Arabidopsis thaliana: one gene and its partner. The protein of the gene in region 2 interacts with the protein of the main gene of each other region in a biochemical or structural test. Each region holds a gene or a part of one and is shown on either strand. Other genes may lie near its edges.

The links.
Region 1: the proteins of NPH4 (region 2) and MYB77 form a complex in vitro, tested with the Arabidopsis thaliana proteins (one study listed by BioGRID).

What each region holds. Positions count from the first base shown.
Region 1 is NC_003074.8:18,557,054-18,561,378, forward strand, and holds MYB77 (myb domain protein 77), read right to left. Parts: upstream 2,274-4,325; 5' UTR 1,999-2,273; coding exon 1,093-1,998; 3' UTR 554-1,092; downstream 1-553. Other genes in the region: AT3G50050 (Eukaryotic aspartyl protease family protein), read right to left, coding at 1-62. UniProt on the Arabidopsis thaliana protein: Transcription factor involved in auxin response. Functions in auxin signal transduction and modulates lateral root growth. Interacts with ARF response factors to promote auxin-responsive gene expression.
Region 2 is NC_003076.8:7,016,113-7,024,031, forward strand, and holds NPH4 (Transcriptional factor B3 family protein / auxin-responsive factor AUX/IAA-like protein), read right to left. Parts: upstream 6,002-7,919; 5' UTR 5,393-6,001; coding exon 5,347-5,392; intron 5,027-5,346; coding exon 4,914-5,026; intron 4,814-4,913; coding exon 4,718-4,813; intron 4,614-4,717; coding exon 4,557-4,613; intron 4,469-4,556; coding exon 4,313-4,468; intron 4,226-4,312; coding exon 4,141-4,225; intron 4,050-4,140; coding exon 3,959-4,049; intron 3,877-3,958; coding exon 3,709-3,876; intron 3,618-3,708; coding exon 3,422-3,617; intron 3,324-3,421; coding exon 3,185-3,323; intron 3,108-3,184; coding exon 1,129-3,107; intron 1,051-1,128; coding exon 860-1,050; intron 773-859; coding exon 592-772; 3' UTR 358-591; downstream 1-357. Other genes in the region: CPN20 (chaperonin 20), read left to right, coding at 69-242. UniProt on the Arabidopsis thaliana protein: Auxin response factors (ARFs) are transcriptional factors that bind specifically to the DNA sequence 5'-TGTCTC-3' found in the auxin-responsive promoter elements (AuxREs).

The DNA of each region.
Region 1 (4,325 bases), on a different chromosome or scaffold from region 2:
AGAGATAAATAGATTAGGAGTGAGAACGTCGCGCCGATTGATGAGATCGACGGCAGTGCCATTTGATCTCCGGTTGGATTTTTCGACCGTACCGTCGGAGAAAATTGGAGGGGAATCAAAAGAGCTGAGTGAGTGGAGAGAAGAGGGGAGACTCGAACGTAACTTTAGATCTACGGGAACCAAAAGCAGCTTTCTTTGAGACAAAACCCAGTTATTGAAACGACGTAGCTTTTGTGTTTTTAACGCATTTTTTTAACCTCTACTTTTTAACATCGCTGTACCAGTGTTTATTTATACTGTAGAATGGTTAAATAACATAAAAATCTTCCTACAATTTATTTGAAATCTTTGGCATGTTGTAAGAGATTTTACTCTATAGTAATTAAAAAGTATGTATTGTTTTGTTGTTGTCAGTTTTTTTATAGATTTAAAACGAAAAAAAAAAACTGATTTTCTAGACAATGTATTTATTTTTTGTAAGAATGTAGAAAGATTGATCTAATTTTTACGATAATTTCTAAATTGTCGAAAAATAATTATGTTAACAAAAATCCGATTTGACAGTAATTAATTTTATATAAAAGTGAAGTAATCTACCAAACCTATAGAAAAGGTTTAATTACTATCTATAGACTATAGAGTAAATCTCTTACAACAAGCAAAAGATTTTCAAATAAAAGGTTCGAATGTTTTCAAATAGATGTTAAATCTATACCTTTGTTGATTTTGATACTACATGTTACAAGGTCTCACTAATCATGGTTACTGTATAGCTCTATGAAAGGATTAACATGAAATTCATCTATACAATATGTAAGAATGTAGTTATCCTACATTTTGTTGACTAACTCAGTATGTCTCTTTGTATGATAATGTCTCACTAATCAAGGTTCAATTTTTAGATTTAGACTTGTTATAGATTTTGGTTATGAATCACCAAAACAAGTAACAAATATTTGAGATTTAAGATTATTCCATAGAAATTTTAATTCCTCTGTACATTTTGTTTTTGTTTTTAATTTTACCATAAACCCCAAAAATGAATGCTCTTGAAAATCCCCAATCGATTCAAGTTTTAACCCTAAACCAAAACTACTCAACCTTAGGTGTTATTACTCCACAATCCCTAAAACCACCATTGCCGCCGGATTCGTATAAACCTCCGACGACGAATCCACCACTTGTTTTCTGCATTTCCGCCATGTAACTCCTCACTTCAGCTTTTATCATCTCCTGCACCACCGTCATAAACTCACCTCTACGTCCTTCTCCTCTCTCCTCTACATTAATCTTCATCTGACTCTCAAATCTCGGAAACATCAACGCGTTGTTGTTATTGTTATGGCTCGAACTCGTGTTCTCAGCTCCAGGTAGTGACAAACTCAACGAAGTAGGTGGATCCTCCGAAGACGAAGACATTTCAACCGGTAACGGCTGCGGAACCACCGTAAAACCGCCGGAAATCGGCATTGGTTTAAACAGCTGAGCAACAGGAGACGACGGTGACGGAATCGTGCTAGAATCACTAACATCGATTCCGTTAGGACTCTCAGGACTCATGTACAATCCAGTATCCACCGGAGCAAAAGCAGAATCAAAGCTAACAGATCTCCTCTTCTTCGGCCGATCCTGATCTTCCTCCGTCTCCGTCACCGTCGTAACCGCCACACCTCCGCTGCATTTCCTCTTAAGCGTAGAGTTCCAGTGATTTTTAACGGCGTTATCCGTACGACCGTTAAGAAGACGAGCAATCGTCGCCCACTTGTTACCAAACTGAGCACGGGCGGTTACAATAGTCTCATCTTCCTCCGGCGAGAAAGGACGATGCTCAACCTCCGGAGATAACTGATTACACCAACGTAATCTACACGATTTACCAGATCGACCTGGAATCGATTTGCTAATCGCAGACCAATTCCTCGGTCCGTATTTCTCAACCATCCTTCGTAGCTGCTCATCTTCTTCTTGACTCCATGGACCTTTAACACGATCCGCCATTGAAACAGATCTTTTGTTTGTTTGTTGTAGAGAAGAAGAAGAAGAAGAAGAAGGTGGAGGAAACTGAAGAGAGGAGAAAAAAGGTATTTATAACAGAGAGAGAGATAGAGAGGAGGATGGATAATAACCGGTAACCGGTAGAGACGGTGGAGAAAGTCATGCACCGCTTCTTCCACGCAAGCGGTTTTGAAAGTTTTGGGATACAGCTGTAGGTGTACACGTGTCGTGATCTCGGTGCGTCTGTTTATTAGTTTATGGAGCGTGTGATACAGTCGAAAGAGAGAAAGGGGAAGCACGCGCGCGTGAGAAGAGAGTGGGAAAAGAAGGGAAGTTAAAGCGACAAAATCACGGAAACCTACAAGGAAAGAGCTCTGATATTATTCGCACAATCTGAGGTGAAAAATTAGAAAGCTGTTTTGAATGTTTATTTGAAAAATAATAATAATATCTGAGACGATAACGGTTAGGTTTGGCAGTTTGGGTAAAGACAGTTTTTTATGCAGATTTCTGACTTTTTTGACTGGACACGCCAGCCTGTATTCCTTGTTATGCAAATTTACCCTTTTCTCTGAAACTTTTTTCCTTTTATTTTATTTTGTAGAATACAAAACGACTAATTTGAATTTTTTTTTGAAGTTACATAAGGTTTAAAGTTTATGGGTCGGGAAATATTGGAGGATAAAATTTGATCACAGTGTTCTAAAAATATTTTTGTTTAATTTAAATGTTATTTTTGTTATTGTATTGTATTATTTTCAAATTGGATGATATATTTAAACAATAAAAATAAAACTGAAATTTTTGAAAATATAAATGTGTAGAAAATATAAAACGACATTAGACTGACACAAAAATTAAAATGCAAAACGACATCTAATTTGAAACGGAAAACGTATTAGATGTTTTTATAAAATATGTTTTGATTCGTTGAACTTGAAACGATATTCGTAACGCTTTTGACCAATAAAGTTTATACATAAAATCTGCATAGAATATAAAACGACGTTTAATATGACACAAAAATTAATATGCAAAACGACATTTAATTTGAAACGAGAAAAGTATTAGCTACTTTTAAAAAAGTATTTTGATTCGTTGAATTTGAAACTATACTTGTAACGGTTATGCTACGTTTTAATTATTCATAGATTTCTTTTTTTTTTTTTCTCGAGAATACAATACACATAATTTAAAATTTGTATATTTTTAAATTTTAAAGTAATTGCAAGTATAGAGCTGGCACTCTTGAAAGTAAAATTTTGATTACACATTTTTAAAAAAAAACATTAACTAATTTATGACTGGTTAAACAGTAATTGTAACAGTTTTGAGCGATGAAATTAATATTTTTTACTTCCTTTTGGTTTATCTTTCTAACTGAAAAAGGTTCAAACTGCCTAGTGCTACAAATTTGGGATAAAAATATTTGTATCGTTTATAGAAATGTGGTTCAGTTTTGTATGGTTTTTTTGTCTGTGACTATTTGTTAATGGTACGTTTTTGAATGCCCCAAATCAAAGTCATATAGTATTTACACAATACGGGAAACTACATTTATATGATTAGATACGATTAATATTCTGTTTCATAAACTTGTTACAAAGAAACGGCCACACAAGATAAAAGTAAGTGGTCGGAAAAATAAAAATAAAATTTGCTGACATGGACAACACGACAAAAGAGTGTTAGGCCAATTGGAATGTGAATGAAATCATATTTATTTATAATATATAGTTTTTGATTGACGAAAATCCAGGCTGTAATCCTCAACAAACAACTAACTGTCGTCCATTAAGCAAACTGCCACGTGTCAAATTTTTGGAACTGTTTTTGAAATTGTGTGTAACTGTCTCTTACGTTAGTAACGCACTAAACGTCATTTGCACCTTCTTCCCAACCTTCATCGAACGGTTTCACAACTTATTTTTTAATTTATCTTTTTCCGTATTTTATGTCGAATTAGTTACATACTAATTAGTCAAATTATAAACGGATTACCGAAACTATTTCAGTTTTGATGTTGTTGGTTTTCAGTTTACTGACCAAACTTTCCCTTAATTGTTATTTCTTTCATACTAATAATACATTCTAGTGACGAAACTAATATTATATGCTGTAATTTTGGGTCTGTAGAGATTACGGGTTTCGGCCCAAAACCTCCTAATATTTTAAAAAAATAAAAAAAAATAATAATAATAATACACTTAGTCTTGGTTATAAAAGTTAACAATATGTTTACTTTTATTATGTGTTCCACATTCTAACATGTCATATTTAAATGATGGTTTTCTTGGTGTATTTCTAATCGAAAACTTATCCTATTTAGG
Region 2 (7,919 bases):
GCTTGATGTGATAGTCAGTTCATACACAAGTTCCAATTATACATATTCTCCTCTTCATTTTATGGCAGGTGATAGCAGTTGGACCGGGTTCCCTAGACGAGGAAGGTAAAATTACGCCTCTACCAGTATCAACCGGAAGCACAGTACTTTACTCCAAGTATGCTGGTAACGACTTCAAGGGCAAAGATGGTTCCAACTACATTGCCCTCAGAGCTTCAGATGTGATGGCTATACTTTCTTAGTTATGTTATATCTTTGTAATCTGCAACTTGTATCCCAATTGTGGAAATTTTTTCCGTAAACGGCCTGAGCATAATCTGGAATAAAGACTTGAGTTTGAAAATGTGATTTTATTGCTGATTTCATGTTTTTCCTTCTCTTTTTGGTTACAAGCGGTTTCAGTTGATCAGTTAAACTTGGTAGAAACAGTGACTCACAGCAAATAAAATCTCCGTGTAAACTTAGTGGAAGATATTTTACAGGTAAATGCTCTACAGTGCCCAGTGGAAACTTGAGACATGTTATCAACGAGAAGTTATATTACAAAACGAAGAAAAAAGAATCTTTGTCTGTGAGAGAACTCTTCTGCCATCACCGGTTAAACGAAGTGGCTGAGTTATCATCATAATGACCTCTCCAAGCATTGCCACTGTCACCGCCACTACAAGCTTGATTAGTAACTGGTACACCGGCAAAGTTCCCGTCTAAGCTCATCTGCTGAACCTCAGCTGATGAAAGGATCTTAATGCTCTGAACACAGTTTACGAATTCTCTGCAAAAATCACGATTTTAAAGGTTAGCAAAAAAATAATGGAACTTCTAACAGTCTGATGTGTGAATGTAATTGCTCTCTACTTACTCCCATGGATCATCGCCGACGAGGAGGATGTCATTTTCATGATCGACATAAACAAGTTTCCAGTCAGATGTTTGAGGATCTTCGAGCTGTCCTTCGATCCCAAACATGCGCGCTAGATCATGCCTCAGCTCATCGTAACCTCTGTAACGGTTGACGTCTATTGATCTCCCCACTGAGCCTCGTTTTTGCACCTGTAGGAAAATTTAACATTTGTCAAACCGAAAACATAACCCAAATATCAACAAGCATAGATCAGAGCACAATCGAACCTTTGTATAAGTTCGCATTCGCTGAGTCTGAGCTGGCCACAATCCACCACCAAGAACTCCAGCATCGTTGACAGCTAGATCGTTCGAAATGGCGGGCACATTGGGGACACCAAAAGATTGAGTTCTTACAGCTGAAGTAGACATCTCTGTACCAATGTCATTTGTCACTCCTCCATAGTTTGAAAGCATGTTCTGAAGATCTTTCTGGGAGTCATATCCCCTCGAGAGTAGCGTGTCAGGCACAAAGCCATTATCAACATTAGCTCCACCGAGCAAGCTGTTCCTGGAATCACCGTCAAGGCCAAAAGTTGGAGCCAAGAAATTTTGTTGTCTGTTGTTTTCGCCTCCATCTAAACCGTAAGAAGTTCCAGAGGCAGATGCTTCTAGTTGATGATCTGTTAAACTAGCTTTGGACTTTTGCTGACCCACGAGTTCTTGTTTTAGCCGCATATCGGATTTGCTGTAAAGATCCTGAACAAGATTACCAGACATATCAATCGCTGCATCAGGTATCAAGATCGCTGGCCCGCTTTGGCTTCTGTTGAGAAAGCCTGAAGAAGAGATCTGACAGTTGTTGGTGGAAGGCGACGTTGAAGAGGAAGGTGCATCTCCTCCATCTGTGATGCCTGAATAAGCTTTGACCCCTCCCCCAACCGGTGGGTTTTGTTTTTCCTGAGGTCGGCTCACCAGCATTTGAGGTGGTTGCAACGTCGATAAGCCATTGTTAGTGCAAGATGACGGAAACTGATGACCTTGAGAGAGAGTAGGCAGCTGTTGCAACTGCTGGCTTTGCAATTGATGGTGTGGTAACTGAGACTGCGGCGAAAGAAATTGCTGCTGCTGTTGCTGTTGTAATCTCTGTAACAGCTGAAACTGTATATGCGGCTGTTCCAAGAGACTCTGCTGGAATATCTGTTGGGCCTGTGCCTGGTGAGCTTTCTGCTGCAAAAGTGTTTGCTGATTCTGCCCGTTGAGACCAGGAGGCTGCTGCTGTTCTACTTGTCGTGAAAACTGTGTCTCTTGCGGCGGTGCGGACATCAGATTGGATGAAGACTTGCTGGTTTCAATTACACTACTCTGGCTAGTGCTAGCACCTAAATGGTGATGTGCTTGTTGAAGTTGCTTAGACTGTTGTTGTTGCTGTTGAAAGCTTTGATTAAGGGAGCTGGACGGAGGCGTGATGACACTGCTTGCCATTGATCCCGAAACTAATTGTGGTTGCAAATGATGTGTAGATGCTTGTTGCGACTGATGCTGCTGCGCTGCTTGTTGACCATTGTAAAGCTGATTCTGTGGAACCTGAAGTTGCTGCAACTTATGTTGTTGTAACTGTTGTGGCTGTGGATGCGAGTGAGATTGCAATGGCTGTGTTCTTAGCTGCTGCTGCTGAGTCTGTTGCTGTAACGGTTGTTGATGTTGTTGCTGCAGTTGTTGTTGTTGTTGCTGCTGGAGCAATTGTTGTTGTTGCTGAGACTGCGATTGATTGTTGTTGCTGTGTTGTTGAGACTGCAATTGTTGTTGCTGCTGCAGCAACTGTTGTTGTTGTTGCTGTTGTTGAGACTGCGATTGCTGTTGTTGATGGTTCAAAGAGGAGTGCAACAATTGCTGCAGCTGCTGTTGTTGGGACAACGTAGTTGGTGGCTGAGGCAACTGAGACATTGGGGCTTGCTGATTCTGTTTGTTAAATTGGAGATTTGAGGAGGAAATCCCCCCGTGCGGCGTCTGAAAGCTCAGTAACTTGGAGGGATCATCAGTGCCGCCAAGATTGTTGTGCAGCGCCGCGGTTGGCGAAAGCATTGATGGGAAGAAACCTGGCTGTGCAGCAGCAGAGGGTAGCTGGCCGTTCTGCTGCTGCATATTCATCCACTGAACTAAACTCAGACCAGGAAAGATAGTACTCGAAGGGTCTTTCATCTCTAAGCTATTATCAAGCCATGGCATTGCTCTCTTCAGTGCAGACTCCATGTCAGTCTCATCATCTGCAAGAGCACCGGAAATTCCGTCCTTGAGGAGATTCAAAGAAGTTGTGTCGAAATGAAATGGTACAAAAATTTACCTGGCATTCCAGGTTGTCCAGAAAAGCGAGGTCGGAAAAATGGAGGAGGACATATGTAGAAAGGAGTTAAAACCGGTTCAATGTCCCAAACTGAAACTCGACTGGGCCTATCACCAGCAGCTGACTCATCCCATCCAATCTTTAGCAGAAACAGAAACAAAGCATAACTAAAATGAATGGTGCAATGTATCAAGAAAGACAAATCTGACATTCATCATGAGTTTTACTTCAAACTACCTGAAGATTCCGCCACTGAGAGTTTTTCCATCTCACTGGATCAAGATCACTGATACCGGTAACTGTACCCATATACCGACGAACTCCACATTCTTCAGTCTCAAATATCATTCTAAACCGCATACCGAGGGAAACTTGAGCGTACATCGCTTTGGTATACTTGGCTAAAGGAACCACAAACTCAGCAGGAGCAGCCCTGAAAAAACTCGGTTGTAAATCTCTCAGCAATTGCCATGAAACAAGCATATATAGTAAGGTTAACGTAGACAAAAGGAAACATAGATCGCCACCTCGGGTTGTAGAAAATGGTGAAAGGACTGTTATTAGCATTAGCATGAGCTGCAGCTGCAAGAACTCCGATGTGCATGCTATCACTTGATATTACAGATGAAGAAAGTGCAGGCTGTTGTCTATTTGCACGTCTTATCCCCAACAGAAGTTGCGCCTTTCCATCTCTTAATTGAAAGAAAAAAAGAATTAGCATCTTGACAAAAAAAAATACCGAAAGAGAGCATTGGCACATTGAGATTGATATACCTTATAAAAAGAACAGAGTCTCCAGCAAAGAGCCTTTTCGTGCTGACAAACACACTCCAGCCTGTAGTTAGCAAGTGCCTTTTTGGTTGACCTGATAAATGTCAACATATCCAAAACGTAAGAACAATTCTACGAAAGCCAAATTGATTAAAGAAGGTAATCTACCAAAAACAAGGTAAAACCTCGATAAATATGTCTGAAAGTCCATGTGTTGTCATGAATATCCTTAGCAACAAGCTCCTGACAAGGTGGTTGCATCGAGAAATCCTAGTAAAATATTGCCAACAATGTAAGAAACTAAGGCAATACAGAGATACTAACTATCAGATGTATAAGAAAGTATTGTATATACACCAGAGCAGGAAAGATTTTCTCAGCAGCTCGTCGGGGTACAGAAAATCCACCGTGAGTACTTGTGTCACTCGCCGTGAGGGTTTTGCAGAAAAATTCATTAGGTTGTCTGTTTAGCTTAAGACCCATGTCAGAAGCAAGCAATGCATCTCTGTCATACTGTTCAACAAAATGCTCAGAGCAATTAGTCCCTCCCTACTCCTTAAATACACCTATAAATCGAGTTATTCAGTGAAAGGTAAGCTACTTTGTTTACTGGCTGAAGAGTCATCTGCGCATAGACCTCATCCGTCTCAGGATCAGCCTGGTTCACAGTCGACAATTAGCAAAACATTAGCAACTCAAAAGCAAAAAATGTTAAAACAACTAGCCTAAGAGGCCATTATAGATATTTAAAAGATACCATACATTCAGTGTAACATTGTGGAGCATGCATATGAGCTTGGAAGGAAGATTCGGGTAACTTGGTATGAAATCAGTCTGCTTCTGCATTGAAGCCGCGACCTAAGAAACAGAAAAATAAATAGCAACCACATGAAATTTCCAATCAGCGACTCATTCTTGATCAGCCGCGAATGATACCAAACTTTATTGAACAACATACTTGCTCACTGTGACCTTGAGGGAAGTAAACAACAAGACTTCCTGCTGGAGGCAACGAAATCAATGGCCCAGCACAAGCGTGCCATAGCTCTGAGTTTATATTTCTCCTTTCTCCTGCATTCACACAACATCAAAGCTGTGATTACTTAAAATCTCTAGGATCTTCATTCAGTTACTATTATCAAACCAACAAGATAGGAGAGAACTGCTCTAAACCAACTAAAAGCCACAGTCTTTATAAACCAATACAATAGTAACTTAGCTTACTCTCTAAGCAGAAAATGACCGAAACCAATTCAATTCAGGTTCTCAAATCCAGCAATTCTGAAGAAATGTGTGACCTCTTCTACTTAAAACTTGAATCTATTCAAATCCAGCAATGAATTTCTTCTACTAAAGGATTGACATTTATCAGATACGAGAAACACACAAACCTTCAACAGGATTAGGAGAAACTCCATTTGATGAAGGAGCTTTCATGATCACTCAACTTTACTTTCTCTGAAGAATAAACCCAATAAATAATCTGAATCTGAGCTTATACAAAGCTAAGCTCTTTGCGTGAGAGCTTCATCAAAAGCCCTAAACTTTCACTCAAGTTGTTAATAGCTTCCTAGCTCAAGTAACAGCAGAGAGAATCGTTAATCAGAAATGGGGAACTCCAAGATCTCAGCTTTTTATCTCCGACAGAGCCGCCAATTTCTCGGAAATTTTAAGTATCTCAAAGAGATCAAAAACCACGACTTTTCACACGCGGAATCTCCGGAGAGACAAACAAAGCATACGACCTTAAAAAAGATTCCGTTTTTAACGAAGCTCTTTATCTCGAGTCAGATAATTCAAAAACACCCACAAAGTTACTTGATTCAGCTGCTCTTCTTTGTTTTGCTTTCCTTTCTTGGGGGGAATCAAATCAAAGAGACGGGTTTCTATAAAAAGAAATCTGGAAAATGAATCGAAAGAGAAAAACAAAACTTAAGGATGACCAAGGACAATCGAAGATTAAGACTCAAACGTGAGAGAAAGAGCAACAGAGTTGTCGGAAAGGGATGATCAGCGACCAGGACAACTACCAAAAGGTCTGCTAAAGCACAGGAACAGCTTTTTCTTCTTCCTCTCCTTTTTTTTTCCTTCTCTTTTCTTTTTCCGATATTTTTATTTTTTTATACCTATTTAGTTATGCTCATGAAGCCGACATATTCACTAGCAAACTGGCCACGATTTAATTTCTTAATGTTATTATTGTCCTCTAAAATTTTAACTTTGACACACAAAAAAACAACTTTATTAGTGTTTTCTTTTTCCTTATCTCTGATAATTTGATAAGTTTTTTTCATTAAGGTTATTATTACTGTATCATTTATTGTAATACTTGATTAGGGATAACATAGATTTATAGGGGATGTATTGAAAAAAACAAACTAAGCTGACTAGCTAGTTATTTGATCAAAGTGCGTACATATATGTTTGGCAATTTCTTTTGTAGTTAACTATATTTAATTCAGATAGATTTTAGGATTCATAATTCATCAAAAAATTTTATGATTTTCATTATTTTGAACAAAAGCATTTTACTAGAAATTTTGTGGAGTTTTACATGGTTGGTTCTGAGTTTCATAAACTAGCGTTCATGTTTTAAACGAGAATGGAACTTAAATGTTTAGTAATGAGTTCTATAATAACAAACAAATCTAAATTCGCTTAGATCATCATTATAAACAATTGATCTTATTTTGTTGTAAATGTTGATTAATTGATCAAATCTAAGTACATACAGCATATGCGATCACAAAGAACAATATTTTAACGGACGATTTCATATCAAAAATGATAGAAGTTCTCTCTTTGTTCATGATTCTTTATTGGTTTCTTATATTAATTAACCTAAACTTTTGTCTTTTGGAAGAAGTGTTATAATGTCACACAAAATAAAATTACATATGATGATCACAACTTACACTCTTTTCCCAGTACAGCCATCATTCAAAATTTTCCTCTATAATCGTTAAAATGTCTACCCAAAAAAAAACGGTGATATATATTCCTAAACATATTGGAAAACCGAATATAACCATAAATATGTCATTGTACAAACTACAATCTATTTGGTTTAAGGCCACATAACAAGTTTTATCTACCAAAGACTGAACCTCCATATTCATCACAGACCATTGTAAAATGCATGTAAACCCTTTGAATGACCCCACATCAAAAAAGAAAGTTACAAAACAGTAACCTCTTTGTTAGTTTAGGTTCGATCCAAAACTTATTTGGCAGGAATGCTTAAAATTCTATATACTTACAACTTTAAGTGAAGGTAATATATATGTATGGAATGAATGGATGTCAATTCAAATAAGTGGCAGTGAGTAGCGACATGATGTCCCTGAGCAATAAATGCGTGAAGACAGAAGTTTGGAGATTGGATGAATGTAAGAAGGCCTTTTGAAGTTATGGATTTCGACGCCTAGCTTTTTTTTTTCTTTTTTTTTTGTGAAACTTTGAGGCCTAGCTAACGTTTAAAAAAAGAAAAAGAAAAATGTTAATAGTTTTCTTATTACAAAGTGACCGAAATTTAGTATGAACTCCGAACTACGACTTCATGCATGTATTAAAGTTGGAATGAAAGGAAGAAGAGCGTGACGCATTTCAGAACCGGTTGTGTGTCCGTATGGTGTCCGCAGTGGAAAGTGGAAAATGAACAAGATGAATAACTCATATACTGTCCTAAAGATATTTCCAGAATCACATCAACGTATTTTAGCCGATTTAATGAATTCGACAGTTGGTGTTGACAATATATGTAAATGTAACCACAAAATACACCACTTGAGTTGGATGAATTATCAGAGAGAGACGAGGAAGTTTCGTTACGATTCCATGATTTTCTCGACTTTACTATGTCATTCTGATATGCATTATTTGTTAATTTGTATGTAAGAGAGAGTTGTGGAAAATAATCTACGTACTGATTAATTTTTTGCGTTTTAAGTGATTTTAGATTTCC